Oryzias latipes: one gene and its partner. The protein of the gene in region 1 binds, or shares a complex with, the protein of each later gene. Links are inferred from orthologs where the notes say so. Each region holds a gene or a part of one and is shown on either strand. Other genes may lie near its edges.

What was found.
Region 2: growth arrest-specific protein 8 (region 1) and efcab2 share a complex: the UniProt entries of both Homo sapiens proteins name them as parts of the nexin-dynein regulatory complex. The link is inferred for Oryzias latipes from reciprocal best matches to the Homo sapiens genes DRC4 and DRC8.

What each region holds. Positions count from the first base shown.
Region 1 is NC_019861.2:21,827,832-21,844,600, reverse strand, and holds growth arrest-specific protein 8, read right to left. Parts: upstream 9,977-16,769; 5' UTR 9,758-9,976; coding exon 9,755-9,757; intron 9,580-9,754; coding exon 9,484-9,579; intron 9,046-9,483; coding exon 8,848-9,045; intron 8,179-8,847; coding exon 7,978-8,178; intron 5,734-7,977; coding exon 5,682-5,733; intron 5,591-5,681; coding exon 5,388-5,590; intron 5,283-5,387; coding exon 5,184-5,282; intron 5,058-5,183; coding exon 4,977-5,057; intron 4,876-4,976; coding exon 4,666-4,875; intron 4,574-4,665; coding exon 4,508-4,573; intron 4,424-4,507; coding exon 4,364-4,423; 3' UTR 3,821-4,363; downstream 1-3,820. Other genes in the region: transcription factor E2F4-like, read right to left, coding at 10,691-10,719, 10,923-10,970, 11,310-11,601, 11,687-11,751, 12,807-12,850, 13,107-13,262, 13,397-13,506, 13,765-13,896; lysosomal protective protein, read left to right, coding at 14,764-14,924, 15,478-15,589, 15,671-15,805, 15,889-16,047, 16,288-16,379. UniProt on the Homo sapiens protein: Component of the nexin-dynein regulatory complex (N-DRC), a key regulator of ciliary/flagellar motility which maintains the alignment and integrity of the distal axoneme and regulates microtubule sliding in motile axonemes.
Region 2 is NC_019861.2:24,634,238-24,650,689, reverse strand, and holds efcab2 (EF-hand calcium-binding domain-containing protein 2), read right to left. Parts: upstream 7,859-16,452; 5' UTR 7,547-7,858; coding exon 7,522-7,546; intron 7,405-7,521; coding exon 7,335-7,404; intron 7,248-7,334; coding exon 7,175-7,247; intron 6,097-7,174; coding exon 6,020-6,096; intron 5,425-6,019; coding exon 5,382-5,424; intron 4,438-5,381; coding exon 4,371-4,437; intron 4,277-4,370; coding exon 4,158-4,276; 3' UTR 4,068-4,157; downstream 1-4,067. Other genes in the region: ADP-dependent glucokinase, read left to right, coding at 49-185, 436-572, 1,400-1,963; cgref1 (cell growth regulator with EF hand domain protein 1), read right to left, coding at 10,027-10,311, 10,411-10,509, 11,563-11,687, 12,429-12,502, 13,452-13,526, 13,732-13,817. UniProt on the Homo sapiens protein: Component of the nexin-dynein regulatory complex (N-DRC), a key regulator of ciliary/flagellar motility which maintains the alignment and integrity of the distal axoneme and regulates microtubule sliding in motile axonemes.

The DNA of each region.
Region 1 (16,769 bases):
GTCACCCGGGCAGCTCAGGGGAGAACTTTTGTCAGACTGATGAGACATTTAGAACATGCTTACTGTTTTCTTCACATTTAGACTCTCACCCAAAGTGTCGTCGTATTCTGTTTTACTCACCAACAGAGCATCTCCCATGTGTGTTCTGCTGCTTTCCATCCACCAGGCTGCTGACATCATCAAGGAGCACCATGGTAACTTGTGACACTTTCTTTCTCAAGTTACCATAGACGGAGCTCCCTACCCTGTGCAAAAGACCCCGCCTCAGCCCATCCAAACTCCTCACAAGAGCTAGGTTTCTTTTTGCCAGATGACCTCCGCGCTCTCCTCCACCAGAACGAGACAGAACCTGCAGAAGGAGGCTTTGCATGAAGTCTGCTTCATCCTCAGTGACCATCATTTCGTCCACAGATGTATTTCCGGACAACAGATCCTGTCTCAGGGCTTCAGGGGGTAAGCTGAAGGGCCTAAAGCGGCCAATTGTGCCCAAGCCCTTGGTGTTTCCAGAAGCTTCCCTTGAAGGGTGTAAGCTGACCACGGGTTTCCAGTTCCGCGTCTCCAGGAATTGCAGCAGCTCCTGAAGCCAGCTCACACTGAATTCACAATCATTTTGACCCTTCAAAGCGCAGATAAAGCCCTGGAGGCCTGCACTAGCCTGACCATACGTCCCACTGACCAGAGCCTGAAGCACAGTTTCCAACACAGCGCTAATTGTTCTCCAGTTCTGAGACAAGAAAGTCAAGATGGACTTCTGAGGTAGACGCTCTGATAAGGTAATGACACTTTGCAGGAGCCCCAGCAGCCAGTCCCAGTGTGGGCTTCCCCTCAGAGACAAAAACCAGTCCTGTAGTCTGATGCTGGGCCGAGGGGGAACTCTCCCGTTCCACTGGTTCAGTGCAGCACTTCCTTCAGACTGCAGGAAAAAGTGCAACACCTTCTCCCACAACTGCACCTCATCTTCTTCTCCAGGAGCCTCCTCCAGCTCTGCCCCCATCTCCTGGAGGTACAAAGAGATATTGTAGAGGAACCCAGAGAGACGGTGCCTGTCAATTGGCTTGTTTAATGACGGCCTGTTCTTGCTGGGAAAAAGTGTTTTTAAACTTCCCACTATGTTCCTCATCCAGGTTGGCATGGACTGGCCCCTGTTTGGGTCTGAGTCCTTATTCAGAGGAGATCTGTTTGGACTCAAACCATTTCCTTTACTCAGTTTTGAAATGATCTCCTTCAGAATGGCATCTCCTCTGTCCACTTTATCACCTCCTAAAAAGAGAATAGATATAGAAAGTGGCAACCGCCATTGAAATATTGAAACAATAAAGTAATATTTTATGTAGGCAAGTGGTTTCAGTGCACTCACCTGTCTTCTCAGGGGCTCCTTCTCCAAGTAAAACAACACAAAATAGGATACTTATAAATGTGAGAGTGGCCATCCCTGACCCAGTCTTCACAATCTCCACCTCTTTCCAGGATGCACAAAAACAAATGCTCTCACATTTTTCTCATGAATCCAGTTGTCCTGTGGGTTATAGGTGAAAACAAAGAAATAGCGTTTCTTCATTAAGTGATAGGATGCAGGTAAGTATCAGTGCCAGCAGAGGATATTAAACCTTAATGATTGTACAGCTTACGCTGCATGGTTTGTTAAGCAAAAAATGCAGGTCTTTTTAAACTGAAAGCCTGAACGTTCCATGATAAGTCTATAGGTGATGCTGGGTCGCTAGAGAGGGCATAACAAAAAAAATTTTTAACGATGAGCTGACCATTTCAAAAATAAAAGTTTTACAGCGTTCCAATTCTCACAGGATCCTGTTCTGAACATCAAAATAGATCTAATTTAGTTGAGACAACTATACAGCTATACCTTCAGCGATGGAACCTAAAAGATGAGAAATAAGATTCTCAGAACTCACCAAGTGTTATAATCCATCGTCTTTAAGTGGCTGGCAGCATCTCCTTCAGCTTTTTGTTGTGCTGACCTCCACCTGAGTGGGACTCTATTTCACCATCGCTCTGACTTTCTCTACTTTTTCCTCTCCCCCATCCCCCTCCTCCCTCCAGCGTCCACCTGTGCAGGTGTTTTAAGTGCCTTTTCTCAGGCTCTTTGCTTCAGGTTAGTTTGCAGCTTCACACTTGAAAATCTTTCCGGCATTATGTGTGTTTCTTTTTGTGTACCATCACACAAAGTGTTCTTTTAAATCTCTCCTGTATTTGGATATTTTCTGACTTTTTTCCTGCTTTTGAGGAATGAAAAAGGTGTTAAAAAGAAGTGAAAATCTGCATTATTTTAATCACACCCGGAATAACTGCCCCACTCTCGATCTGTCGCCCATTGACTAATTCTTTATTGAGGGGGGATTTATCTCTTGTAACACTGGGTGTGTTGGGGGTGTAGTCTTACCAAGCGGGTCAGACCAGAAGAACTTTGTATGCTGTCACTGTTTAGATACATTTATCCCTTGTCTGGACAGACCCACAATTGAGCCCTGTGCAAAGGGCACAGGAGCCGTCTCTCCAGAGTCAGACCGCTGTCTGCATGCCCTGTAATCTGAGAGCTCTCAGTGAAAGAACCACCTTCTCCTTCCTTTTGCTTCAGCTGCAAGATACTGCAGCCTGCACAGGGACAATAACTTCCTCCTGTATTATTGATGCCGCAGGGAACAGCGATCACTCAGTGCAGCAGGGCTCGATTCACCATGGGAATAGTCAATGAGAAACTGGATCTGCCCCCCCCCGCTGGAAACAGCAAATCGGCCAGGTAATATAGCTGTTGTGATTGAAATACACAGCTGGAGCTAACTATTACACTAACTTCTCAGTTGATAGATATACCAAGAATAAATCAATATAGTATAAATTCTGCACTTAAGTAAATTATGATTCAAAAATAATATTTTTTAGGTTACTCTGTTTCAATGTTTCCTTTTTAGCACTTTAAAAGGCTGGAATGACAGATATTTCTAGGTTTTTTTTTTTTTTTTTCAGTCTTGTCCTATGTGTCCTTTTAAAGTAAATGTCCAAAAAATACAATCATCATCATCATCATCATCATCACCAACCCTTAGCAATGACTATTATGCAGATACACACAGATTTTGTTCATCCTGGCTCATTCTAAACAAAAAGGCAAGACTTTTAATTTTTCAAATGGAGATTTTAACATACGTTTTTCATAAAATAACCATGCTGAAATCAAATATGCTTGTTTAAAATAATTGAATATTAGATCTTGGTGAAGGCAGCAGTTATAAGAAATTATTTTATCAAACATTAGTACTAGTAATGCCAGAACTCCTAAGTACACTCAGAACAAAGGAATAGCAAACATCTTTGAGGAGAAAAAAAAAATGTAGGGAGATTATTCTCTTTCTAAAAACAATGCTGCTCCATCTTAATAAAAAACTAAATACCCACAAAAGGTTGCCTCTTCATAACTGTACTCGCCCTCAATGTGTACTGACTCAGTTCCATTATAATGTTCTAAATTTTCAGACAGGGGAAGAAAAACCTTCAACGTATTTGAAAGATAAAACCAGCCTTTACAGAAAAAAGTACACAGAAAAAAACATGTCAACTGCTACAATAAAATAAATTATTAGTTAATTAATACAACAACAGGGAACAAATAACAGGCCCAAATTCTTGTTTTTCTTTTAGTTTTCAATGAATCAAATTGTTCTGGTTATTTTCTCCATCCTTTTTGCACAACAGTGTGCCAAAGCAGATGCTAAACATCTGTAACATGGTATTAAATACAATTACGGTAATCACAATGTAGCTTCAGCGGTGCAGATATGTCAACAAAACTTCAATTCTATACAGATAATGATTAATAAAACATTTATTTTGAAGCATTTTTTTTCTTTGCTACAGAGAAAATGTTAACTATAAATGAAACTATGAATTATTTTGAAGTAAAAGTAATTAATTTAAAAGAAAAGGGCAAAATCAAGACCCTTGAAAGATTTATTTTTAAGTTCAAGAGGTTCCTGATTCACATCGGTTTTAAAACATGGATACAACCATTAGTTTGTTTTTTTAATCTTTAAATTTGAGATTTTGATTTTACTTTAAAGGCTTGAAGCTGAGCGGTTGCAGTTATTGTACGTAGCCTGTAGAGGACAGTAAAGCCACAAAGATAAACTTACATGTGTTGTCTGTTTTAATGGATCATTACTTTAGATTTAAATTGCAGCAAATCCATTCTTATACTATAATTTGTTATGAAGCAAACTTATATTTTTTATGAGTCCACTCTGTAAAATCATAAAGACATTACAATTTTCTTTTAATTCAGACGTGAGATTTGTCATTTCACTTCCAGAAATCCAGGTTCTGCTTTCCAAATAAGAGATCTAACAGAATCTTATCTATGAGACTTAAACATCGGGTTTTCTTCACCGGTCAGCAGCAGATGACTTCGGGCCTGCGGGATACACATTTGCATTACATACACAGTCTTTTCATTACAAAATAAATAAATAAATAATGAGGTAAAAGAATGACTAACCTTCAAGATCTCATTCTTTTTGTATGCAATGTTCCTAATGGCAGATTTTCTTCTGTCCAAATTTTCCTACAGACAAAACTTTTTGTCAGTTATCCTTTTTCTAAAGATATGGCAAAAGTGAGTTTTAAAGCAGAGAACACAGGAGTGTGAAACATTACCTCACTTTTGTTTGCAATTTCACTGAGAACATTGTGGTCCATGTTTGGGTCTGAGAGAACAGTGAAGAGCTGAGTCTGTGACCTTGCCAGACTGTCCGTCAGGTCCTGCAGCTTCCTCCTGAGCTGTGCGCTCCTCAAACCCACTTTTTCACGGGTTCTCTCAATATTTGGAGTCACTGAATTGTACAACTTTGCCTTTTCCAGTTGAAGCTGTGTGAATCAACATGGGATTAAGAAAAAACAAATAGAATATTAATATTTTCTCGACTTCAAAACAATGAATCGTGTGAAGTGGGATTTTTATCTTTCACCCCGTTGAATTTTTGTTCTAGTGCTTCATTTTCTAATTTCAGGTCCTCAACGGTCTTTGTTTCAGGAATTTTGATAGATTGCTGTGAAGAAAAGTAATAAAGTGACACATTACACTTTTTATTTGAGTTTTTATGTACATTAATTTGAATACACTTCAATAAGTCACACTGATATTTAAAAAACAGAAGTATCAACATAACAATAACCTTATTTTTCAAGTGGAAATCTGCTTTCTTCTTAATGTTGGTCTTCTGAACTTTGGGGATATCATAAACTTGAATTTCCTTCTCTTGTAAAATTTTGTTCTAGGAGGTGCAAAGAAAACATGCAGTGATTACTAAAGTATAAAACTATTTCATTTTTGTCCTGAACACATTTGTTTTATATATCTATTTTAAAATAAAACCTACCTGGATTTCATTTATTATCTCTCTATTCTGCTCCATTAAAATATTGACTTCCTGAATGCTGTTGAAGACTTCCCTCATTTCCTCTTGGAAAGCCACAATGTGGGTGTCTCGTTCCAGTTCACAATTCATGACCAAACTTGTTTCAGTATTTTCCAACTCTTCTTGGAACAGCTTAAGACATTCTTCATATTTTGCAGCGGTTTCTGCACAGATAATGTCAAAAATGGGACTTTTGAGTTCATTTCTAAAAAACACAATTGTCTTAAATTCAGCTAAGAGTTTAGTTTCATTTACCTGTGACTTGCTGCTCCCAGTTGCTCCTTGTTTTAGTAACCTCATCCTGTAACTGAAGATAAAAATTAATCACAAATTTGTGTAAAACGCCTCTTAGAGGTATTCTGGGAGTCCCTTGTGTGTAGTATGTAATGCTCATCATTTCCTGACAAAATGTTCGTGTCAAATACCGTATGTGGGTGTTGTTTTGAATGGTGCTGCCAACATGTAAAGTAAAACAGCTTGACAGTTAGAAGAACTCTAAATAGAGTTAATAGGTCTGTTTTATAGGACTAGATGTTACAGTGGTGGACAAAATTGTTGGTACCGCTCAGTTAAAGAAAGAAAGTCCACAATGCTCACTGAAATGACTTGAAACGTTCAAAAGTAATAATAAATTAAAATTTCTTGAAAATTTATTTCATATTTTGTTGCACAACCTTTTGAGGCAATCACTGCAATTAAACGGTTTCTGTATTTGTCAATGAGCCTTCTGAACCTGTCCACAGGTATTTTGGCCCACTCCTCATGAGCAAACTGCTCCAGTTGTCTCAGGTTTGATGGGTGTCTTCTCCAAATGGCATGTTTCAGCTCCTTCCACAGATGTTCAATGGGATCCAGACCTGGGCTCATAGAAGGCCACTTCAGAATCGTCCAACGCTTTTCTCTTAGCCATTCTTGGGTGTTTTTGGCTGTGTGTTTTGGATCGTTGTCCTGTTGGAAGACCCATGACCTGCGGCTGAGACCAGGCTTTCTGACCCTAGGCAGCACATTTCTATCCAGAATGCCTTGATGATCTTGAGATTTCATTTTACCTTGTACAACTTCAAGACACCCTGTGCCAGATGCAGCAAAGCAGCCCAAGAACAGAACTGAGCCTCCTCCATGTTTCACAGTAGGGACAGTGTTCTTTTGGTTGTTTGGTTCATTTTTGAGTCTACGAACATAGAGCTGATGTTTCTTACCAAAAAGCTCCAGTTTTGTCTCATATGTCCAAAGGACATCATTTCAGAAGCTTTGTGGCCTGTCAACATGCATTTTTGCAAATTCCAGTCTGGCTTTTTTATGATTTCCTTTCAACAGTGGTGTCCTCCTTGATCGTCTCCCACGAAGTCCACTCTGGCTCAAACAACGACGAATGGTGTGATCTGACACTGATGTACCTTGATCTAGGAGTTCACCTTTAATGTCTTTGGAGGTTGTTCTGGGCTCTTTGGATACAGTTCCAACTATCCGTCTCCTCAATTTGTCATCAATTTTCCTCTTCGGTCACGTCCAGGGAGGTTGGCTACTGTCCCGTGGGTCTTAAACTTCTGAATAATATGTGCCACTGTCTTCACTGGAAATTCCAGCTGCTTAGAGATGGTTTTATAGCCTTTACCTTTACGATGTTTGTCTATAATTTTGTTTCTAATGTCCTGGGACAATTCTCTCCTTTCTCCTTTCATTCAATTAAAGGACATACCTGAGTTCATCATGACCCCCTGGACAATTAGTTCTCAGTCTTTTATGGAGGTACCATCATTTTTGTCAAGTCCTATTTCATTAGTTTGTATTTTTAAATAATTCTGTTAATCAACAACTCAAAAGTAATGGCTGATTTTGATTATTTAATTTTCGATAAATTTTAATTTATTGTTACTTTTTAACGTTTCAAGTCATTTCAGTGTCCACAGGAACATATATAATATATATAATCACGTATAATACAGCACTGAGCAATTACCATTTTATGAGAAAATAATAATTTAAAATTGGGATGTTTTTCTACCTGAATAAAACATGTTTAAAATTAAATATATAAAGAGCCAAATTTTGCACTGAAGACATTAAAAAACGTCATGAGAATAGGCTATACGTGAGACATTATGACCCAGCTAGGGTTTTACTTTTGAGGTCAAAAAGTTTGCATTAAAAGACACAAAAAATACAATATTCTTTTGCTTTTTATTTGTCTGAAACTGGGATCGCGACCCGGTCCCGGATAAGCGGAGGAAGATGGATGGATGGATTGTCTGAAACTAAACTGAACTTCTTTGGATCAATGAAGAAGTCTCTAAATGTTAACATTTTTGATGGTCTACGGGTTTATAAACCTGAAGGGTCTAAAAAGTTGACACAACAAATACCCTCAAAGAAATCTGGCCGTACCACAGGTTTTTTATGACTGATGTCAGTAGTTGCGGAACTTCTGTTGGATATTTGACATTTAAAATAGTTTAAAACTGTTTATTAGAAAGCCACACTAAGCAACTCCCATCAAGTTGTACAGATAGACGCCTATTATTGTATAAAAACATTTGTGTGCGTTACAAACCAGTAGCCGTTGTCTTTCAAAGTCGTCATTGTTGAGCTCCTGTATGTCTACCATACCAGCTTTGATTTTCTTATGAAACTCCATCTCCAGCTGATCCAGCTCTTTCTGAAGCTTCTTGATGGAGACCAAACCCTCCTCCTTCAGCTCGGAGATTGTGCTTTGATGTTCACAGAGGAGATGCTTTATTTTCTGCTTGTACACCTGAATAAGAAAAAGAACATAATAAATGTTTCATCAGTCTAACAATATTCCATGCTCATACACCCAGAATCTGAAAGAATGAAGGTTTTGAATTCCACTGAGTTTGCTTCCTAAATATCCAAACCTCCCAGCAAACACTTAAATGTAATGAAGGTCATTAGTAGAAGGCAGAGAAATCCTTTCTGGTTAGTTTGAACTATGTAACCCTTTGTGGTTAGGGGTCTGACTGAGGTTGAGGGTATAATGAGGCAACCATAGCTGGGCTATGAAGCCAGGGTGAGTAAATAAACCACAAACAACAGAAAAGTGGCAAACATATTATAGTAATATCAGGACTTTAGGTCAGCATTATTTACGAAAAAAGAAAAACAACATATTCACTTATCAGACAAGAAGACCAGCTTAAATAAACACAGGCAATTAATACAAAAAAACACCCCCACAATTCCTTTCATTCATTCATTCATTCATTCATTCATTCATTCATTCATTTACTAAGCCGTTTTGTCCCTTTCGGGGTCACATGGCTACTGGAGCCTATCCCAGCCACTTGTGGGAGAAGGCAAGGAGGCAGGGGACTTCCTGGACAGGTTGCCAGTCAGGGCCACAAATCACACACCCAACAATTCCATTTCAACAGTTAACTTACAGTCCACAAACTGAACTTACTTTGATCTCTATGAGGTGGTGCTCCTCGTCCTCCTCCAACCCCTTCTCCAGGATTTTCTCCTCAGCCAACACCTCCTCCAGTTTTTTGGCAGTGATTTTCCCAAACGTGTGAACTTGATCCCTCTCCAGCTGAAAGTAGTTTCTCTCTTCCATCTCCCTGTCCAGCTCTTCCTGAAGGTGAGCAATGTACTCTTCTATCTAAAACCCAGAAATACGGGTAATCGTTACCAAACTTTTCCACCAAAGGACGCTACTTCGTTAACCAAGCTAATATGGCTGTAGGTAAATTTATGAGAAAGTCAACAAATATTAGAGAATTATTATGTTAGAGGGTTAATGCTTATGAGCATTTAAGATCGAAATGCAGCACAACAATGCTGACTGGATGATGTTTGGACACCACTGACCACAAATGAGGGTACCTTATGGTGCTCCAGGTGGTACTTCTGACTTTTGGAAATATATCTTAAATGTTTTGATTTCTGTTATTTTATTTTATTTTTTCAATTATGCTTCTCAACAAAGTCCAATAAATGCTTTCAAAGGGTTTTCTGGTATTGGTTAGAGGGAAACATTACATGACTGAAAAACATTTTCCTGTTGAAATGACTCGATATGTTTTAGTAGAGCTCATACCTGCTCCTTGGTGGTTTCTTCCTTGGTGCGTCCATTGATCAGAGTTTGCATGTTTGGCTTTCCTGACTTTTTGCTAGTACTTTTCCTTTTGGGTGGCTGAAAAAAACAAGTTCAACAAACGTTTAGTTTTGTGATTGTTTGTTTGTTTTTTCCTTAGAGAAGTTTGTTTGCATACATCGTAGCATAGAGGCTACAAAAGCTAATAGGTTGAATGTCACTCTAGATTTATAGAAACAACCATACTTTTTGTCATTTATAGAGGTACATTTACCATTGTTTACGCAGCTCAGATAACGCAGAAAGTCGGGTGGCGTTTACGTGTTTTAGGAAGGCAGCAATCATAGCCCAACAACAAGCATTGTTAAACATTCGTTCCCATAGCAACAACCGGAAGCTCGAAAGGTGGCGAAGTTTGGAACCGGATGTAGTTTTATTTTGAACTTTATTGTTCAAACGATTGAACAATTTGCAGCATGTATGACAGCTTTAGAGAACCTAGAGGTCATTATTACAATATATTGAGATGCTCTTTTTTAAGTTATACGAATAAATATTTCAAAGTCAAAATATCGTAATATTTTTGTGTTTTTTTAATTTACTTGAGACTACAATTCTACAATTTTTAAGACAATTCTTTTAAGACTAAACAGAAAATTGAATGTAATTTTTTACAAACAATTTCATTTAAAGCATATTTCTTCAAAATAACCTCAGGTTAACTGAACTCTAAATACTTTTTAGCAAAATGATTCCTCATACAGTAAAATAAAGTGTATTTTAATAAAATAAACTATTTTCAGAGCAGCACAAATCAATTCTTAATTTTTTAATTTCTATGCCACAGAAAATAGGGCTTCCCCAGCAAAAGTTCAACAGATATCAGAAATGTTGAACGTGATATGAAAAACGTTGTTTATTTCTCATCCAGTTTGTTTTTATTGACATCACAAGAAAAGTGTGATGTTTTTCTGAGCCAGGTACTAAAATTTGAAAAAGAATTGCCACAGAATCCTAGCTTTAAAGTGTTGATTAAGATGGGTGCAACATTTGAAATCTTGTTTTTTTATTTTTTAAACCAACTTATAACAAAATATGAAAAAACACATCAGCAAAAACATCAGAGTATTTAAAGAAACAGATACAGTGTATCATGAAGAATCCCTGTAACGTCCTCCTGGTTACAAACATGGTCGTGTTCAGGTGGGGGTCAAGCTAGATGGCCAAGGGGTGACAAAACTGTAGGAGAAACAAATTTGTCGTGAATAAAGCAGGACGGTTTGTCACGAATGAATTAGATCCTTAAAGGCACGCGCCTTCAAAAGTTATAAACTGAGTGATCCGATTACGACTATCACAAATTTGAGAAGCAGCATGTTAAATCACCATTTTCAAACATAAAGTTTATTATGGTGCATTGCATTAGTAAGTAAGTAAAATACCTCTGGGTGCCCTAATCAGGTCCTGCTGTTCCTTTGATAAATCTATAACTGTAAAAAAGAAATATATTCATTTAAAAATTAATAATTATATAGTTAATGAATACAAACAGCGAGCAATAATATAAATATTTGTTATGCGACAAGTTTACATGGAGAAAACAGACGAACAAGAGGACAATAAGTGTTAATGAAAGTTAACTGTTATCAACCAATAAAATAAGCCATATTTATGTAGCTCTAAAACAAAATTATTCCAAAGGGGGTTTTTAGCATTCAAGGAAAACTCCTAAATATACATTTTGAATAACTAAGCATATCATTAAGCTTTTGTAATGAAGTTCTACATCTCTCTTACAACACAATATCAACAAAAAAGGAAAAACTCACATGGAGATCTATCGCTTGTTTTGCTTTCAGCATTAAAAAATGATAACATGCATTGAGGCACCCATTTTTCTCCATACTGGACAATAGCTGACGGCTGTTTGGGTTCAATTATGTTTTCTTTCTCATCAGGAGGTGACATAGCTGACTTGGCACATTGTAGAACTTCTTCAGATGGTGGGACTGGCAAAACAAGAGGAACCGAGCTGGCAGAACATTTGTTAAAAAGTATAACATCAATTGGTCCTTTGAGACTTTTTAGATAAATCTGGTATTTTGCTGGACAGTTTGGGACCTGAAAGAAAAAATTATTAAAAAAAAACAACTTATCAGGTTATGAGCCGCAAAAGTATGAGAAGTGTGATTGAGCTCAAACGTACAGCTTTTGGAATGGGAACATCAAGTGTTGTGTCCTGGGGTGCTCTTACTGTCAAAACAGTTCGACCTGAAGGAAAACGGTAGAAGAACTTATATTTTTTAGAATAAAACACACTTATAGAAAAAAAATAATACAATTATTTGCCTATATGTGTTAGTAAAAATGACAGGCTTTTTGGCATTAAACTCTTAGAATAACCAGTATTACAGATTCAGTGTCAAGAAAAATTCACAGTATTTAAATATTTGTCTTTACACTGTAAATGCATTCATCTACAAATTTTTTGAGTATATCTATTTAAAATTTTAGCAAGACGTTATGAGAAATGTATGTTTGCCTATAGGCTCTTGAAGAGCCTATAGTGACTTTATAAACACGATATATAATAAGTTAAAGAGTATGTCATTAAATGTGAGTTGTTCAAGTGTGAAAGGTAATTTGACCCTGTAGTAACTAAGAAATCAGATGATTGCTTCACTATTCATCTGGCTCAACCTTTAGCACCAGCTAGGAGGCTCACACTCTAAGATCTATGCATCTCTCATCAGTTTTCCATCATGTCTCTATAGTTAAGAAATGTAAGGCATAAACCTGTAATGGTGATTTGGAAAGAAACCAGAATGAATTAAGACCCTTGGTTTACTTTGTGTTACCATGGAAATAATTAAAAAGCTGAACAGTAAGCCAGATGCTACAACTGGTTGAATGTCTTTCTTCCTCTGTTGACAGGAAAGAAGGATGACTTCCAGCACAGCCTGATATGCACCTCTTTCTACAACAACTGTCTGAAGTGAAGCATATGTCCTTTGGGGTTTGCCCTGCCTAACACAAAAGGAAAATCTGATTGTTTCACTGCAGAAAACAGTTGGTGTAGCTAATTGGAAGTTTGAAAACAGTATGTTAAGAATTCTATTTGAGGTTTATGCAATGTTCAGGTTTAAACAACAGTTTGCTCCTTTCCATGCATTAGCACTGCACAGTACATGAGGCCTTGTGTGTTGTTCATTGCATTATTTCACTGTGGGGTAAAGTTGCAGAGTAGCAATACAACAAAAGCCTTTAGTAAAGCATGCCAAAAACACACAAAACAAGTTGCAAACAAAAACAGAAGAGATATTTACCACAGAAGGAGTTGCAGATGTCGTCATGAGTCACATAAACTGAAGTTAAATTAAGTTAAAAAAAAATCACCAAGAAGACATCAATGGTTGCTAAACAATAATAAATATTAATATGGAAAATAAATTTGTCAGTATATAATGTATTCTCTAACACGTAAAATTGTTAAAATTTGAAATAAAAGAATGGAAATGTATGAATTTTAGTCTAATTTCTGAAAAAACGTGTACACCGTCCTCATAAATGTTGTGAAATAATGTGTTACATTTTAAGTAGATCATTGAAATCAATAAAAAGGATATTCTCTGTCGTTTTCGGTTATTTCCTTGATGTTTTGTTCAATACAAAGTTTCTGCTGGTCCAGAAAATGTTCCCTGCACTCCAAGTGAGACACCTCAGCCTTCAGCTTCATAAGAATTCTTCCTGCACTAGTTACATTTCTTCTTGGATTCGTCTCCCTTTAACAACAACAACAAACATGCAAAGTGTGTTAAGATGTGCAGTTCAAGCTAAGTAAATTATATTATAAAAACAATGTCATACTCAAGAATTTACACAAAGCACAATTAGTGCAGGAAGAGTGACGACTTACTGCCACTTTACATGGTTCTTAGATAATTTTCTGATAAGACCAATGCCCTCCAACACATTTGTGATGTCGTAGATTCTTCTCTTTTGTCCAACAGCCAGAGCACTGAAAGCCTGAAAAGAGGACAGGCAATTAAAATAAAACTGATTTATGTTTCCACTGACTGTGATCATTGGGGAATGAGCTAACTAACAGATTTTTAAAATCTGTCTATGTATTCAACATATTTAATACAGTTAATGTAAATGGAGAGTCGTTTTTCTGAATATATCATGTTGCTCATTTTTGTTTAACTTTGCCACCACAATATACTGCAAAAAATTGCCTTTTTTTTGTATCAAAATCATGTGGCAACCTTGCAGTTTACGTACGTGTCTGAGGTCCAGCTCTCCGTTTTCAGCTTCTTCTAGTAACTGGACAAACTTCGTCGTGAGCAAATGAAGACTTTTCATCTTCCTATCATATGCAGGAGTTTCCTCGTCTAAACAGTCGTCGGGATCCATGTAACTAGTAGCAAAACAAACAAATTAGACCTAGAACTTTTGAACGCTTTTGAACTAGCTTTACTGCCACTTTATTTCGCTAACTTCCTTTTTCCTTCAAAATAAAATTTTATATGTGTTTCAACAAACGTACTCCACAAACAAATGTCCGATTTACTCAAAGAACCGTGTAAAATATAGTGCATCTGGATGTTCTAAATGTGTCTTATACGTCCCTCCTATTTCATTGTTAATTTCACCCTCATTGATTGTAGAAAAATGTTTTTTGCTCTCCCTGAAAATGAATCGTTGTTGTCGTGGTGCTCATTTTATTGTGATACCTTCTCCCCGGAAGCAGTCTACTTTGGGGAAAGTTTTTATTTTCGGAATTTTTTATTCATTAAATTTTAGGTTTTGACTGCTTTATTTACAACTTTTTAAGAATTAAACAACTAGGCCTTTTATGTTTTATCAGACGTTACTGTAGATAATTCTTAATATCGTTATATATTAGATCAAGTTAAATTCTTTCTTTACTTTTTTTGTAAACATGACATTTATTAGATAGTACCACTTTTACTTTTGCTCTGGATCGTTAGTCTATGTTCATTTCTTAACAGATTCAAAAACAGTCAAGCACTTTTTAAAAATCAGGTCGCAGCTTTTTCTTGATGCTTTTTTTAGGAGCGGCGTTCAAGGTTCTTCTGTAAAAGTCAGGAGCACGTGACTGCGCTGCGCAGCAGTCATATGACTGATTTGGTTTGGAAGCTGCATGGGCTGATGTTTTAGCGACTGCCGCGGATGACGGTGGAGGAAGTCAAAGTCTTCCGTATTCCTCGTGGTTGTGAAGTTTGTGGATGTTTTGTTGTACTATTGTGAGCCTCCGAGATGCATATCGTGTTGTGTTTGCTGGCCGCTTTTGGGCTCGGTTCGCACGCTCAGTATGCTCCTGATGAGGTGACGGAACTACCCGGTATGACGTTCAAACCGAACTATCGTCAATGGTCCGGATACCTCCAAGCTGGACCCGGGAGGTTCCTGCATTACTGGTGAGAGGAAGCATCGATAGTTGGCAATAATGGTGTAATTATTTGTCATTTTATTCTGCTCTTACAGAGATTTTGTTCCTTTTTTCAGAGTTTGTTTTGCATTTTTGCTCACATGTCTCTCTAGTTCACAATATGCGAATATTTCTGTAACTTACTTTTCAACAAATGAGAAATTCTTAGTGGCTTTTTTGTTTTATTTTTTTCTTTGGGGTGGTGTATCCTCACTTTGACCATGTGTTTCTGATAATGTCACGTGACCCGCTATCTATGCAACTCCAATGTAACTTCAATCATTTTTGATGATCTCCTACTGCTATACTATTTTATGAAGATGACATTTTGAACAGAAAAATTAGTCTAAAATAAACATAAACAAACTCCAGAGATTTAGAGATGTTTGGACCAGAGCCATGAAGTGGGAAATAAACTCTGTACGAATTTTACTTTAGTTTTTATACATTATGTTTATGGTGCACAGCTAATCCAGACAGACAATTCTTTGAAAATTCAGATAATAAGTTATGAAAATAACTCCAAATTTACATCACGGTAGGTTTGTGACTTCTCAAGAAGACCCCGCCACCGACCCTGTGGTCCTCTGGCTGAACGGAGGCCCCGGCTGCAGCTCCCTGGATGGATTCCTGTCAGAGAATGGACCGTTTCACGTCAGCCTCACTCTCTGTGTTCCTAGCTTGATGAAGGGTTTGATGGGGCTTATGGCTGACAGGATTGCTCGTGTTTTTCAGGTAAACGATGATGGAACCACTCTCTATGAGAACCTATACAGCTGGAATAAGATTGCAAATATGCTGTATCTTGAATCCCCTGCAGGAGTGGGATACTCCTACTCCGATCAGCCTTACCCAATTGATGACAACCAGGTGAGCTATATAAAACGATACACTTTGGGGAGAAAAGTTTAGAGATGGCATAAAAAAATAAGGAACCACCATCTTTGTTTTAGGTTGCTGAAGATAATTACAAAGCCCTGCAGAGCTTCTTTAAAAAGTTCCCAAACTTCACCCAGAACGAGTTTTTCATCTTTGGAGAGAGTTACGGTGGAATTTATGCACCAACGCTCAGCCTCCATGTGGCCACAGGAGAGGCTAAAATCAATTTTAAGGTGAGTTGCTTCCTTTTAAAACGTGACGCCTTTTTCACTTCCGCAATGCGCTTTCAAATGAACAAATTTGCAAATTTGTACCAAACCACTTCAGGTACAAACTTACCTTGATATAGCATCTACTTGACAGCAAATACATACGTTTTTTTTTTTCATAGCTGGAAATAAATTCAGGCGTCAAGGGGTTAAATCTCATGTTAAGCTTCAAATATATGTTTTGAAATCTTGATGTCTTTGAAGGGCTTTGCAGTTGGAAACGGTCTCAGCAGCTTCGCTCTGAATGACCAATCCTTGATATACTTTGGTTATTATCATGGCCTCTTTGGAGAAGAGTAAGTGTCTTTTTGTACATCCTGTGTGCTGAGGAATTCTGTACAAAACATATCTATTTGTTTTAATTTTCATTAAAGTATGTAAAGTGTAATTATCTACAGAAAACAGAAATGATTTAAAGGTTTTACATTCACAAAAAGTATTTTAAAAATATTGGAAATTGTTGAATCTGTTAACTTTTTGCACTTATTTTTGTAATGTTTGAGTTTCTGTCTCTTTAAGGTCCATTTTATTCTGACTGATTGGAAAGATTTTAGGAAAAGACATACTTAAAAAAGAAATTATTTTTGTGTTATGACTAATTTTCTTAGATTTTATCATAGCTGTCTGCCTGTAGTATTCTGCGATCATTTTCTTGGGTTGAATTTTCAAATTCTGAGATGCTGACC
Region 2 (16,452 bases), about 2.8 Mb from region 1:
AAGGCATTTCTTTGCTTTTAACTCAGCTGATGTTTGTGTTTTTTGTAGATACATAATTCACAGTGATAACCGGAACCCCTATTTGTCCTCTATGGAAGAGTTTGCTAAGAAACTCAAAGACTTTAAACCAGATCTGTTGGTGGTGGGTGGCCTGCAAATGATGGATAACTTTCCATTCCAGTCAGGTCAGTCAAACGGCCGCCACATCTGTATGTTGGTTTTATTTTGTCTGTGTCCCTTTAGTTAAGCTTTCTGTCACTTCTACCCCCTGTTCTCATCTGTTATCTCTGGTTGATTATTTCTGTTAAAAGCGTCCCTCTTTGTATTCAAGCTTTTCTTTTCTCTTGCTTCATCTTCTCTTCTTCTTATCTGTCTTTCCTCCATTTTTTTTCTGAGTTTGTAAAAACTTTGTGGTTGTGGTTTTTTTTATTCCAGGTGAGAGAGATGCTCTCCTTTCTCGTTTGTCAGACCTGCTCTCCTCTTCCTCTCCTCAAATCGGCATTCATTTTGAGATGGCCAGCTTTGTTGAAGAAAGTATAATGGAAGACCTTCTGCACTATGTCGTCTCCCACGTATGTATGACAGGATCTTTTTAGCCACAAATGTGATCAAATGTCTTGTTGTTACTCATGAAAGTGCAGAGAACAAACAACACAGTGCAGTAAATAGGTCAGAGGAAAACTGGGAACTGAGTTTGGTGTGTTTGGGCAAACTATTTATCTACATTTGCAAACAGTCGCATTAAAAAAAGGTGAGATTTCCCTATATTTGAATATTAACCACTTCCTGTTTGGTCCTTTAAACACATTTTTTATGAGCAGTCGTGCTTGCCAAACCTTTAAATGTGTAAAAATGTTTCTTCTTCCTTTAAACAATGAAGTCATAATTAATCATTTTAATCAGTCTTCAGTGGAGCTTCAAGTTCCTTTGGGCTTGTTTCAGTCTGAGAGCTCTGCATTCCTCAGGACTTTTCTAGCAGATCTCATACAGACTCTCCACTTGGTGCTTCAGTTTTATTTATTTTTTTCAAAAATGAGTTGGATTCTCTGATTAAACGGACCAGACGTCTTCCTGCCTGCTTAGTCCTGTTTCTGGAAACAGATGTCGTCTTTTGGAATGCGTCCGACTGCCTCCGTTGGATCTGTGATTTTCAAATGCCAAAATAAAAGTGTCACCTCATGAAGTTAACTTGTATAAATATAATTTCATTTTAAAATATGAAACAAAATGGCCATTCCTGACTGCAAAGTGATGCTCCAAACATGTCCCTCCTGTGTGATGTGCATTAAATTCTGATTTTATTGTTTTGGTTCTCTTTTAAAAACAGTCAATTCAGTAGTTTAGAATGTATCTTTGAATAATTCCAGTTTGACAGTTTGTCTTCTCTGTGCTTTTCCAGGCAGACTCCTTAGGAATGAATGAACAGGAACTTCCAAATCTCCTCAGCCTCCTCAAAGGCTCCAACATCACAGTGCTGTCGGATCCAAACCCTCGTGTCGCCACGGTCCTCGACCAGATGAGGGAGGTGTATCGAATTCTCAACCAACGCTACAAAGACGCCAGTACGGAAAGTGACGCAAAGGGTGCTAAAAGGAGGGGTAAGCCGTTGACCCGCCTCCACGTGCACACGCTGGCCTTCCAGGCCATGATCGTGACACGGGACTCCAAATGGAAAAACACCATGTCAGCCACGGCAAAGGCCTCGCTCACAGCTAACCGCCACGTCTGCGGCTCCAATGACATCGACCCCAGCAAGGCGAGGCTCATCATGGACGACTCGTTCTCCGTCAGCCAACGAGAAGGAAGCCAGCGCATCCCTTTGCAGGAGAACAGGCCCGTAAGCTGTTGGGATGAGGACGACTATGAGATTTGTGTGGCCCCAGTGCTGGTGTGTACCGAGGTTTACCAGACTGCAGGTGGAGGAGACAACGTCTCTGCTGCTGGCCTGGTCTTACAGATTTAAAAAAGGAAATAGGGTTTTTTCTGTTTAATCAATGTTGGCAAACCATGTGACCCTGGTAACTTGATCAAAGTGTGGCTCACTTCCGACTTTGGGTACTGATGAATCTGTTACTTCTGCAGCTGATGGTCCAACCTGTCAATAATAGAAACTTCTTACAGGTGAGAAAAGTCCATTGATGGTTAGCAGTAATTGGTGATGGAGTGAAGCCACCATCTTTTCAGTCTCAAATGTATGTAGGATGGAGGACAGTCAATGGAAAATACACATTTGCTGCTCAGCTAAAAACCTAAATTAAAAAATCAATGATATGAAAATGTAAAACGATTAAATTGATCCAGCATGTTTGCCGGGTCACTGCTTTCCACCTTTAGACTTTTTGATTTTCATAGCTTATCTTTTTATATTTCTCTGACACCTTAAAAATGTAAACTTTGGTCAGGATGATATAAAGGAGGGCTGAGGTTTGGGGTAACATTGGGCACAAGTTATAGGTTGTTTTATTGGGCCAACATGTGCCCTGTGTGGTTCTTTTTGTGTGTGTGTGTGGTTTTCTTTTTTAGTAATTTTTGCACAACTTCTCCTTTGAGATCAATTATCCTCCCACTCTTTAAACGTGGGCTGCAGCTATGCAACAAGGCCTCAGAAATGACTGAATCCAGTGTTTCTTGGCGTCATGCATATCAGGTTTTGAACAACCCTTTGACCTCATTTATCTATGAGCTTGTTCTTTTTTGAATCCCACTAAGCTTCAACTGATCAGAACGCTTTGACCTAAAGATCATCCTCTTTCCTGATCTTGAGCCCTTTCTCTGAAAGAAAGGAGGAACATGGTGGAAATTTCCTGTTTTTCCTGCTATATGTGAAGCGTGTGCATAATATTGTGGGCGTGTTAGTGTTGGGTGTAAATCTCTGCGTTGAAGTTGTGTGCAATAATGCAGAGAGACCACTGCAGGGAGCTGATTCTGATGTCATTGTTTATTCAATTTTCCGTCAGCTGCTCTCTCACTCTGACTTCTTTCCCTTTTGTCAGTTTTTCACCTGAAATGAACATTTAGTTGGATTTGCTGGAAAACGGGCTGCTTTTCTGTCATTTTTACTTGAAGTCATCATTTGACTCTTGAATCTTTGTGAAACATGGAGATCCGCCTGGATCTCCATATTTCCATGTTCCACCAGGCCACACTTGAGTCGTCTTATTTACAATTGAATCTCCTTTGCAACAGAACTGTTGTGCTTATCTGACTTTTTTTTTTTTTACAACTGTGATTCTTTTTTGATTGATTTTGTTTCAAATCTGTATTTAAATGCTGACTTTAGCACATTTCAACTGTGCCTCCCCCTCTTTATACAAATAAACATTCCATCATCAATCCAGTTGGGCCTGTTTCCAGAACTACAATAGTCAAGTTGACCATTTTTTCCTTAAATAATTGTGCCCTCATAAAGACTGCATCTGCAAGCTATTTGAGCCTTATTCTGTTTGTTTCTGTTTGAAACCCAAACGATAAAACCTGTCCCAGTAGACGTATGTTTTATCTCTTGAGCTCTCTGGTCTTAAACGGTTATTAGATTTGTGTTTATTTTGACATTAAATTGTACTGTACACTAAAATCATGAACATAGAGGGATTTGCTGGAATTTGTTACTAGACTTCTCAGACTTTCCTGTACATCAAATAACCCCTGTTTTCTGACGGTCTTGTAAATGTTGGAATCATGTTAATCATGAAAATCACCTCAGATAAAGTGCTATGCTCAGCAAAAGTCACTGCTTTTTTTTTGTTTTTTGTTCCATTCTGCTAGAACTCTGTTATTGAAGAAAATGTCATCATTTTAACACCAATCTTTGCATTTTGATTACAAAGTTTAGTTTTTTTTTCTTTCAACCTAAGCTTCACGTTCTGTTGCACACAAGCCACAGAGTTTCCATCTTCGTTGCAAATTTAATCCCTATCATTATTTCTACATCTCTTTAAACGTTTGCTTCTCTATTTTTGGAACTTGTTAATTCATCATGGCCCTCTTTTTAACCTTTCAAATCAATTTAAACTTCCAAGATCTGTTAAAAATAAACATTTTGAATAATTTCTGAAGTTTGACAGCAATACAGAAAAAACAAAAATTAATATTTATTTGTATTTTGGCCCAAACACACTGTTTTTCAGCAGATATGCTGAGAAATGAGGAATGACTGCCTACGTGTCGGGGTCAATGGTCAGCTGATTGATTAACTCCTTGTAGCAGATAAGGTTCTTTTTTTCATCAACCAGTGCTGTCAGCATTTCATTGGTCTCTTCCTGACTGAAGGCCTCACCTGTTGAACACAAGCATTGAATGAAAATATTAAACATTGATCCATTAATTTGTTGTTTTCCAGCTCACAAACTACTTCAAAGCTTCTGCTTTACCTTCACTTTTCATGTATTTTGCGAGCTCTTGTGGTTCCATGTATCCCCTCCTGTCTTTGTCTAAAACCTGGAATCATAATGCATTTCTGGTTTAATGAACATTGAAGCAAGGTAATAAGGTAACATTATGCTCAATGTTAAATTATCTCCTTGAGGTTTATAATACAGTATATCAATTTTAACAAAAGTTTGTATTCTCGATTAAATAGAAAAATCAAGAAACACGTCAGTCACAGGAACCACGGAATCACTTTGCCTTGCATCCCTGAAAATGCGCGAGAACTGAAAAAAACATGTTCTAAAGAAGAAAAGGTTTACAGCGTGTCCTCTTGGGGAAGAAGACAAATGTCATTTGAAGATTAAAGTTTCACATTTCTTCAGTTTAAAACATTTATGTAATAGGTAGGTTAATGAAAATTAGCTTTAATGGAAACTTGAAGAGTTAACCAAGTGAATCGTGACTTACATTATTTCAGGAAATACACAGTAACAATTATGGATGATTAGACATGAAAACGATGCTGGAACTCTTTTAAAATGCAGGTCAAATAAAATGTGATCGTTGCTGCCTCAGGAATCCTTTGAGGTTTTATAGTCTGTGGTGACGTGAGGTAGGATACAATCTACCAACAGAGATCTCAAGTAAAAACTCAACCATACTTTCCATCCATCTTCTAATCCTGCTATTCCCAGTTGGGATCACGGGAGCCTACCCAGCTTTGACACAGGATAATTGAATCTTCAATTATCCTGTGAAGCATGTTTTTGGACTTTGGGAGGAAGCTGGAGTGCCCAGGGAAACAAAGCAATCACCAGGGGAACATGCAAACTTTACCAGGGCCTTAAGGAAGTTTTACCATTAATTTTCTTTCCTTTACTGTGGCTGCAGGTAAAGCTGAAGAAAGTTATGTGCAGTCATCAGACAAAGACGTGAGACTGTCATTCCCCTTAGTGGACGGAGATCGTGAACTATGGGTCTTGGCGATACAGTGAAACTGGGTGTCCTCTCACCTCAAACGCCTGACGCAAATGCTCTTCAGGAATGGGAGGAAACCTAACAAACAGAATTAAAAATAAAGATTATTTTTCCCGTTTACAAATAGAGCTTTGCACAATTTTCCAAAGTAAACAGGAGGTCCCAGTTAGTCTCAGAATGTAATGGCATGGCAACTATAGTGTAATGAAGATCTTTTTGAGGCAGAGTCATTGACCATGCAATGCTGAATGCTGAGGAGTGATAATGAGGGGATCAGTTGCTCTCAGATAAAGGTGTCAAACTCCAAGTTGCTCATGCAATACAACACCACATACAATGAAAAGTGGGTTCAAATGTTGAATTTATTCAACCCAACAGCACAAGAAGATGTTTCCAAATCTCGTATTGAAGGAGATCACATATTTTTTTGTTTACAGTGTTTTTAGTAAAGTCTGAACCGCCTTGCCATTGGGTCTCTCTAGTACATTATCTGCAGCATGCTAGGTGATAAATGACAGTTTTATTTATCATCATAAAAAAATTGTGTCAGCTGTACAGAAAGGCTAACATGAGTGTGTTTTTCCACTGTTTTTTCTTTTCTGAAGCAGACAAAAAAAGTTGAATGAATTTAAAATGTGACTGGAAAATAATGTAGAAAGCAGAACTTTCTTACTTGTTCTCCATTATTACTTTGGTCATGACTGGTAGGAACTTGTCCAAGTGAACATATCCCATATTGTCCTCCTCCACCTGTGTGAACAGAATTTTGTGACAAAAGTTCTGAAAGATGTTACAAAACAAGAGAGTTAATCAGAGTTAATCAAATGTAATTATAACAAATTTATATGTATTTTTTAAATGTTCTGAATGTGGTGTTTTACATCTGTGAAGATTTTTCAATCATAAATGTTATGGCAGGATGACACAGTTCTTCAGGGTAACTGGACTTTTAAGGTTTATCCGGAAGACATTTCTGCCAGTAGATTCTTCAGTTCTAACTATTGTTAAAGAATTGAATGCTATTTATATGCTGACTATTTTGAAGGTGTGGCAAAATGTGGCTTTAAAATATATTACAACAATCTATATGAGGCAAAATTAAACTGCAGGGGGGGCCCTGGGCACATAAGTGTGTGAGGCCCTTTCAACAGTCATTTAAATGTTTTATCTTTCGTTTTTACATCTTTTTTATATAAAATAAATTACACTACTGAAGTCATTGTACCAACCGTGGCAATACAGCAAATAAGCCTGAAATCAAGGCCTGACTGACTAAAAGAGTGAGAAGTTGCGCAAATAGACGGTCCGTGCTTTTCATCAATGCTTATTTTTATTTATTTTTGTGATTCTCTTGGACTGCTGCTGCGCAATGATCAACATGCGCAAAGCGCGTAAAACAAGGATTCGGCACGCACTAAAGTTTTTAGGTTAAAACAATGCAACAGAGAATAAAGAATTGATACAAAAGCGGCTGAATCAAAAAAAAATTAGCTCTTAAGTTGATTCTGCGGGTCAACATATATTTTCTGTAAAATCAGCGATACGACGTTACAGTCAGACCACGCGACACCTAATCATCCTATATTTGCTGCTCCAATGATGGCCAAACGCTCCTGAATGAGGAGGTACAAGAAGGGGGTGAAGGCTCCAGCTGTCCAGATATGGACAGAAACAGATGGAGAGAAAAAAAAGCGCACGGAGAGATGCGCAAAAAAAAAAAAAAGAAAAGAAATTTCAAAGTAAAAGTTTGTTGTACTTGTAGGAAGGTCTAGAAGAAGCAAATGGCACACTATTTTGCCCGCCTGCGAGGAGGGCGGAACTTACTGACCTCATCCACGAAGCGATGGATGTCTGCTTTGGTGGGGAAACATCCCAGCGAATAGATGATGGTGCTGACCTCACTGCAAAACAACATTTTCGGAGTGGGCGCTGAGTTACTCTTGACTTGTTTGAGTTAATGAAATAAGTTTGGGATCTTTAAAGCTCACCGGACGTCCACGGTGTTGTCAGCTTTGTGGTCAAACACGTGAAAGGCTGCGCGGATTTTCCTCTGGATTTCTGATAACCAAAGCACAAATAGACTGTATTCATCTAATTTATATATTGAAAAAAATAAATGAATTGTAATAACAAAAACTAAACAAATTTTAAACCAGTAAAGAAACTCTGACTGACCTGCTGTTTCACCGGCTTCCGCCATGTCTGCCTGGTGTTGTCGTGTTGCTTAGCAACCGAGTGACACCCTACTTAATATTCTTTTACCAACAAAAAAAATGTACTGTTTCCTTAATAACCTAATTAATTCTGAGACACTTAATGACCTATAATGATATCTGTTTGCATATTGGATAAATAATTTTTCCAACTCATCAAGTCTAAAACTTTATCTGAAAAAGCTTACAGTGGGGCAAAAAAGTATTTAGTCAGTCACCAATGGTGCCAAAGTTTTACTACTTAAAAAGATGAGAAAGGCCTGTACTTGTCATTATACCTCAACTATGAGAGACATAATAAGAAAACAATTCCAGGAAATCACAGCGTCTGACTTTTAAAGAACTTTTTTCTCAAATTATGGTGGAAAATAAGAATTTGGTCACCTACAAACAGGCAAGATTTCTGGCTCTCATAGACCTGGAACTTCTTCTGTAAGAGGATCCTCTGTCTGCCACTCGTCACCTTAATTACTGGCACCTGTTTGATGGTTGTCTGAAAATGTATGCTTGTCTATAGAAAATACACCAGTACACAACCTTAAGCTGTCTAAGGACACCAGAAACAAAAATGTTGACCTGCACCAGGCTGGGAAGACTGAATCCGCTAAAGGTAAGCAGCTTGCTGTGAAGAAATCAACTGTGGGAGCAATTATTAGGAAATGGAAGACATACAAGACCACTGATAATCTACCTCCCTCTGGGGCTCCCTGGAAGATGTTCTCCCCCCGTGGGGTCGGAATGATCACAATGAGCAAAAATACACAACCACACAACCACACAATTAGACCTAGTGAATGACGTGCAGAGAGCTGGGACTAAAGTAACAAAGACTACATCTGTAACACACTACGCCGCCAGGGACTCAAATCCTGCAGTCCCAGACATATCCCCTTGCTAAAGACAGTACATGTTTGCTAGAGAGAATTAAGATGATAAGATTATTCAGAAGAGGACTGGGAGAATGTCCTATGGTCAGATGAAATAAATAAAACTTTTTGGTAAGATCGATACTCGTCGTGTTTGGAGGAGAAAGAATACTGAGTTGCATCCAAAGAACACCGTACCTGCTGTAAAGCATGGGGGTGGAAACCTCATGATTTGGGGCTGTTTCTCAGCAAAGGTACTGCTGATCCGTGTAAAGGAAAATTTTAATGAGGCCATGCATTGTCAGATTTTGAGTGAAAACCTCCTTCCATAAACAAAGGCAATGAAGATGAAACATGGCTGGGTCTTTCAGGATGACAACGACTCCAAACATACTGCCTGGGTAACAAAAGAATGACTTTTTAAGAAGCATTTCAAGGTCCTGGAGTGGCCTTGCCAGTCTCCAGATCTCAACCTCATAGAAATTCTTTGGAGGGAGTTGAAAGTCTGTTTTGCCCAGCGACAGCCCCAAAACATCCCGGCTCTAGAGGAGATCTGCATGGAGGAACATTCCAAAATACCAGCAACGGTTTGTGAAAACCTTGTGAAGACCTACAGAAAACATTTGCCTGCTGTCACTGCCAACAAAGGTATATGTATAACAAAGTATTGAGTTGAACTTGGGTTGTTGACCAAATACTTACTATACACCATAATTTACAAATAAGTTCTTTGAAAATCAGACTGGGATTTTTCAGAATTTTTTATTTTATTTTGTCTCTCATAGTTTAGGTATATCTATGAAGAAAATTACAGGCCTCTCTTATCTTTTTAAGTGGGAGAACTTGCACTATTGGTGGCTGAATAAATACTTTTTTGCCCCACTGGATATTTAGTAAAATTGTATTATTACAGTCGGGATAGGCTCAGGCAGCCCTGTTACCCCAAAAGGGAACAAATGGATTAGAAGATGAATGAATGAATGAATGAATGAATGAATGAATGAATGAATGAATGAATATATTATTGGGGCAATCTGATTTCATTTTTTTATTTATTCTTTGAAGTCTATTATCATTTTATCAAGGGAAACATGAATTTTTGTGCCACACATTGAATCAGGAAAAGCACATCAGTATAAATATCACCTGAGTAGATTCCTTACAGATGCTTGAAGGCATGCAGAGACTACAGTGCATTCTGGCTGCATTTATGCTGGATATTACCGAGACAAGTTATCATCAAAATGTAGTAATGATTAGGAAACTACTGTTGTGTACTGCACAGTGAAAACACCGTGTATGAAAAGTATGACCAGAGATTTACTAGTGAGACAAATGATGAATAAATAAAGCATCAAATCTTACCAGAAAATGTGCAATAATGATAATGATAGATTTCAATGCTCCTGTGGGGTGTTTTAACTTTTAGAAATTAAAAGTTATAGGAACAACATCATGCATGGAAAGCAAAAGATGACTTTTCATTGTCTGGCACACGTTTGACAGCTTAGAGTGGACAGTGAGTCCTCAGAACCAATAAAGCCCTTTTTTTGGGATAAGGGAGGAGGAAATCTTCCCAAGAAGAACATTTTCATAGAGTTTCATATTTCTGGTTGTCCCTGGTGTACAGGGACTCCTTCCTGTTCTTCTACAGGGGCGTCCTCAATTTGTTGTTGATTATATTTATCTATTTGTTGTATGTCTTTGTCCGCCTGTGTTTCCTGATTTTGTATTTCCTCCTCTTGAGGGTGAAAGTCTTCCCGAGGATCCTCTTGCTGTTTGTTGTCCACTGCTCCTGCATTTTGCTCCTCTGTGATGATGGCTGATTGCCTGTTCTCCACAACCACCTCCTGCTTCGTTTGAGGTATCTGGTTGATCTGTGAGCCCTTTGAGGTAGCAAGTGTCATATAAAGTCATTGCCAAAACAAACAAAATGGTGTATCATTTTAAAAACCAAAACAAAATGTGTGTTGATCTGGAAGTACCTGTGTGTGAGTGAGTGGAGACAGCAACTCAGAGGGGTCCAGCAGCCCATCATGGTTCAAATCCTGAGTCTGGAGTAAGAAATCCACCGTAGACACTATCTAAACCACCCAAAGGGATGCAAATATGTGGTCAGAAAGGAAACTACACCCAAATACAATGACAGCTCTAAAACACCAACTAATCCAGGGGTCCACAACCTGAGGTTCCGTACCCACATAAGGCTCCTTTATCCCTCCATTGTGGCTCTTTGGCTTTGAAGAAAAATGCTAACGATTTGAATAAAAATATTTTTTTGTAGTTGTGATTGATTTGTTTTAGTTAATATAGTTTATTTCATTTATTTTTAGATTTTTAAAATAATGATGGGAAAAGGTTTCGTGAGAGGCGTTTGTTATTAGAATCATTTTAAAGCTCACATAGGCTTTTTAAAATTGGATGTTGTGATGTTTATATTTAATAGTAAAAGGAGAGAAAGGATGAAAGTTCACCAAAGTCATAATGATAGAAAAGTTCATGTTTGATTGACTTTCTTACATTTTTTATTCAAATAAATCTGCTGCCGCAGAAGGATCTTATTTAATAAAGGATGTATTTTATTTTGAATGGAACTTGTTTGTGCTGGTGTCAAAAGTAAGAAATGATATACAAAAAATTATAAAACTTTTACAATTCAATTTTTATCACTATCTAAAATTTAATGGTCACAAAAACATAAATCAAGTGTATTTTTTTACATGTGTCAAATTTCTTTTTCAGTTTGATCCTTCATTAATGGAGTTATGTGGGTTTTAATAAGCTTACAAAACTCAAAAGGATTTATGCTAGAATAACAAGCAAACATATGTTTTCTATGCAACTGTAATTGTCACTTTAAAAAGTTATAATAAATAAATGATGAGTTATTTAACATTAAGGAGTATTTACATTTATTTTTCATTACATTTAGTTACATGTATAAGTTATATCTGGCCCTTTGAGGACAGCCACTATGCTGATGTGGCCCTCAGTGAAAATGAGTTTGACACCCCTGTTCTAAACAGTGCAGAGGGACTTTGTGGCTCTCATTGGCGTTCAAGAAACTGGACCAAATGGTTCTATTATAGGGTTAAAGGTTGCAGACCCCTGATTTACACAAAGTCACTCCAGCTCACCAGCTCGCTGGCATCCGCTTGACCTGAATGATGTTTGCTGTAGTCAGAGAGCAGCTTCATCATCTCCAAACCATCCAAGAACCCACTGCGATCAAAGTCATACAGACGGAACAGGAAGAAAACCTCTGAAGCAAAAAAAGAACACTATGAGAGACGCTGGATGCCAAACTCATCTGACACTTTAAAAAAAAAAAAAACACAATCTCTGAGCTTTGGTGATGAAAGCATGGAGCAGTTTTGTCGTCTGAAAACCCACGAACCTGAACAATTTTTACTTTGCTGGAATTGAGATGCAATATGGAGGCCATAGTACATATGACCATATAAGGAACCCAACTGTTGTCTCCTACAAGAAGTCATGAGGTTTGCTTGTTATAAGAGATCAACGTATTCATCTGAAGGCTGTGAGGTTTAAATGATGAACAGTTATAAACTAGAGTCAAGAAACAAAAATCTTCTATTTATGACACATTTTTCATCCTTCCAGAAGCTAAAACGACTTATGTGAAAAGTTACCTTCTGTATTGTGATCTAAGCTCATCTTCTGCAGGTTTTTAACATGTTTATTGGTTGTTAAAATTATTATTTCTTAATATAATTATCTCTTAAGGGTTGTGATTGAAACTCCAGCATTTTCTCTTAAACATGCGATCAGCTCTTTAGATGCAAGTCAAGCTGCCACAACTCAAAAGGATCTGTTTTAGTTAGCACTGACAAAACAACAAAAATAAATCAAGGTTGAAAAATGAGCTGCTTTTTAACATTTTTGTCAAAGTGATTGAATGGGAAATAAATGTCAACTGTACACTTTTGGGAAAACAAATAAACAATTATCTCTCAGCTCTGCATTAGAATAAACAGAGTACCTTGTTCCCAGGAAGTGATCTCTGGTCCTCCTTGGTGGTTTTTCAGAATAGGCTGAATGTAACTCTGCAACAATCTGTGGCGACACACAGCACGGTTTTTATTTTTACAAAAAAAAAATCTTAAAAGTATCAAACAGAAAATTCTGTAGATTAATCCAAATCTTACACGCATGTGACCAAGAGAGAGCATTGAGGATTGAGGAAGAAGCTACAGTCAAAAGAATTTGTTTCTTATTTGTTCTCCATTTAAAGTGAAACATTAACTTTATTGTGAAATAATGGCTTGCTTTAAATAAGAAACATAAAAGAAAGAAACATTAGGAAGAGTCAAAGTTCAGAGAAATGTGTCTGTATAAAATTCCCAACAGTTTTATAGTACAAGAGCAACCAAAGTTCAAGAGAGACAAGATTGTAGCTACTGACTCAGTCTGTGTGCTGACTGAAGTCTGACAATATTACCATTAAACACTAAAGACTAAAAAGAATAATGACCAACATATATGGAAATGTAGAATACTCTTATGGGTTTTGTTAAAGATCATATTTGGTGTTCTTATTTCAATTTTTAAAATGTTCTCCAGTCCTGAAGTGGGATTCTGTAAAGTCCTCGCAAGAAATGAAACAAAAATCAGCCTCATTGCTTCTACTTTGAGTCAAAGAAAATCTGATGAGAAGCCAAGCTAACCACTTCAAATCCATTCAACATGTCATTATAGTTTGAGATAATAGTAAGCTTGGTTCTCCAGCATGGCGTTCTCCCTGAGATCAGCTGTGGTTGACTGCTGCAGCAACTGTCTGGCTGTACAAATGCATAAAACACTGAAAAGATGGGGTGGATATGAATCCAAAATACTCAACATGGCCACTGAACAGTATAAAACTTGATGCATCTTTAAAGGTCCTTCCAGATTTCTTCTCTACACACTTCCATTATTACTGTAATGATTACTTAGGAATGGCAAGAAAAACAAATTTAGTGTTTTATAAGAACAGGTTAAAGGGCATCATTCAGCAGCCACTCACCTGTGTTCCTCCTCTCTGGAGCCAAAAGGATTAAGTAAAGTTCCAGGAGGGAGCTGACTCTCCACCGGTTCCACACTGTGAAGATAAACACATCAATATGAGCCCTATTCCATCCATCAGCTGGAAAGATTATCATGAACACGGGTGTGTTTATTTAATCTCATGTTTATTTATTTAAATGAAAATATCCACTAAGTGTCTTCTATGAAGACCAGAATTTGTTTGTTGAGGGTACAAATGTGAGAAGATGAGCATCATCGTGGTAGGAAGGTGAGCTTACATTTGCCCTGGAGCTGAGCTGCCTGGGCTCAAGAGCAGGAAGACAGACAGGACCCATTGCAGCAGCCGGACAGGATGGAAATCCATCTGTGCACCTGAAGGACAAACAGGCCACATCATCAAAAGTAAACACAAGTCTCTTGAGATCAAGTTTCACCAGCAGAGGGATGTTTTTCTAAAGCCTTCAGCAGCTTTGTTTTCCTCCTCTTGTCTTATGTGTGCAGGCTCCTGGCACCGCAGCACCATCGCCTCCTTTCACAGCAGACAATGAGCTCCCCCAGCACCGATGCTCTGACAGCTGGGCACCCACACAGATCCTTTAAACACCACTTCTGTTCCCTTTCTATCGCAAAAATATTCCTGCGCTGGATTTACCTTGACGTTGTCGCAGATGTGCTCTAACCGGGATGTCCTGGTGGAGAAAACGAGCATACCTTTAGTGTTCGCAGTGTAGACGTTCACGGGCGTTGGACGCAACCGGTCATAATGGACTCATGACTGCAGGATTGTCGCGGAGCTCAACGCCACGCTTCCCGGTCTGCACTGCGCAGTATGGGCTGCGTTCTTGTTGCCATGGAGATTTTTGGGTCAAATGACAGGTTCCACGTGGAAGTAAAGCGAGCTAGCGCGTTTGCGACGAGGCTGAAGTTGGCGTCCGATTTTTACTTTGTTCTGATTCTGCAGTTAAGGGAAAAACTATTATTCACAATAAAACAGGTCTTGTGAGAAAGACGGTTTGAAACTGTCTGTCTAAATGAGCCACTTGTGTTCACAAATTAGCATTTTTTGTGCACAAACAAGTATTTTACTATCATCACTTCCTACTATTTGTGACCACAAAATACTAAGCCGTGCACAGAAAACAGGCAACTTTTTATGCCCATAAAATAATAATTTTTACCCCCCAAAAATTAAACTGTGCGCATTTCTCACAAATTAGAACATTTTCATAAAACAATAAATGTTGTTTGTTGCTGTTTAAAAGTTCTTCCAATGTACTGTACAGACACATTCAACTGCCTTTGTACAGCAGATGTTTTTATTGGACCAACCAAGTTGAATGAGTTGAATAGATTTTCCTGTAACGTTTTTCAAATCGGAAGCTAACTTCCTACTGGTGGATTGGCGCTCGTTTGTCCCGGTTTGCGTCGTGCGCCACGTCCTCACCGACACCCACCACAGGCGGGGTAAGAAGCTCTCAGACGGAGCTGTTCTGTGTTAAAGTTCAGTTTCAATCTCCTGAATGTGAGATAAACCTAACAATGATGCAAAGTTGGAACACTTAAGTTCTAGTGTACATTTATAGAGGGAATGCCTCCACGCTCATTTTGTTGCTGGTCACATCATTTCAAGGCAGTAATGTTAAAAAAGGTTTATTTTTGAATCTGCCTACTTTAACTGTGAAATGTCTCATTCATCAGTACATTTAACTTAGTATTTTCAGTCCAGACTACTCTTTTAATTACAAACATTTTCTGCTGTTTCTACTTTTCATATTTCTTCCTTTTATTAACCTTCTTTATTGAATTAAGTAATAAACAGTTTTGTGCATTCCATCTGTTGAAAGATGCAGTACTTGTATTTATGGTACTACTTATATTTACTTATATCTGATTACTTTACACAAGGAAGGAAAAAAATCTTGAAATTAAGAGATTTTACCCCAGCAGTTCTACTCTTTGGCCATAAGGTGTCTCTGTAACCCTCTATTTTGAAAGAATCTTGTGTACTTTTTATAGTTGTGCACAACGGTCAAAAAGATCAGTGTTACTAACTTCAGAAGTTACCAGTTTAACCCTTGTGCTATCCAAGGCACTTTGACATTGGGAGTGCGATAATCTAGACCCACTAGACAGTGCGCTGAACTTTTATCTTCAATTATTTGTGAACCTCACTGGTGTCCATGGATTACATGAAATTCAATTCAATTCAATTTGTATAGCCCAAAATCACAACAGCAGTCGTCTCGATGGGCTTCGAAGTAAAACATGACCTCAAAAGGATCAAAAGAAATCCTCTCCACCTTTATCCACCATATCACGGTAGGGAGAACACATAAATGGTCATCTTGACCTCATAGGATAGCACAAGGGTTAAGAGCAAACACAAAATTTTTTCTCATAAAGGTTTTTTTGTAATGTTTCAAATGTCTTTTGTTTTTAATGGTTGACAACTACATATTTAAAATAACTAGTGCCACACAGAGGGACTATATTTTGTTTTACAATGAACAAAAGTATGTAGTTTAGCAAAAATCTCGAAATAGATTTGAATTTTTATTCAAACTGTGATGTAGGAGCCCAAAAGACCCCAGTTTTTTTTCTTTTTCTTTTTTTTTTAACATTTCCTTAGTAAAAACACAAACCATTCAACTAAATAGACCTTACAAACGGATTTTATTTTAGAGCCACTGGTTAATAAACATTATTATTTAAATTTTTATCAAAGTTTTGATCCAGCTTCACAGAACAAATTAGAGCTGAAAATGGTTACGTTGTTTTTAACATAAATGCTACAATACAATGTTTTAGTTCCCCTATCGTCGAAAACAGTAACATTAAAAATGGTTGTCCGATAAAGTACAAAGAGGAGAGACGAAAATCACAATGGAAACTCTTTATTCTAGTTAATTAACTAACTTGAAGGGTTTATGTGGTCTGAGCAGTGCATGTGTAGGATTAATTGTCTCACCTGAACTTTGTGCAGTTCACTCCAGATCAGA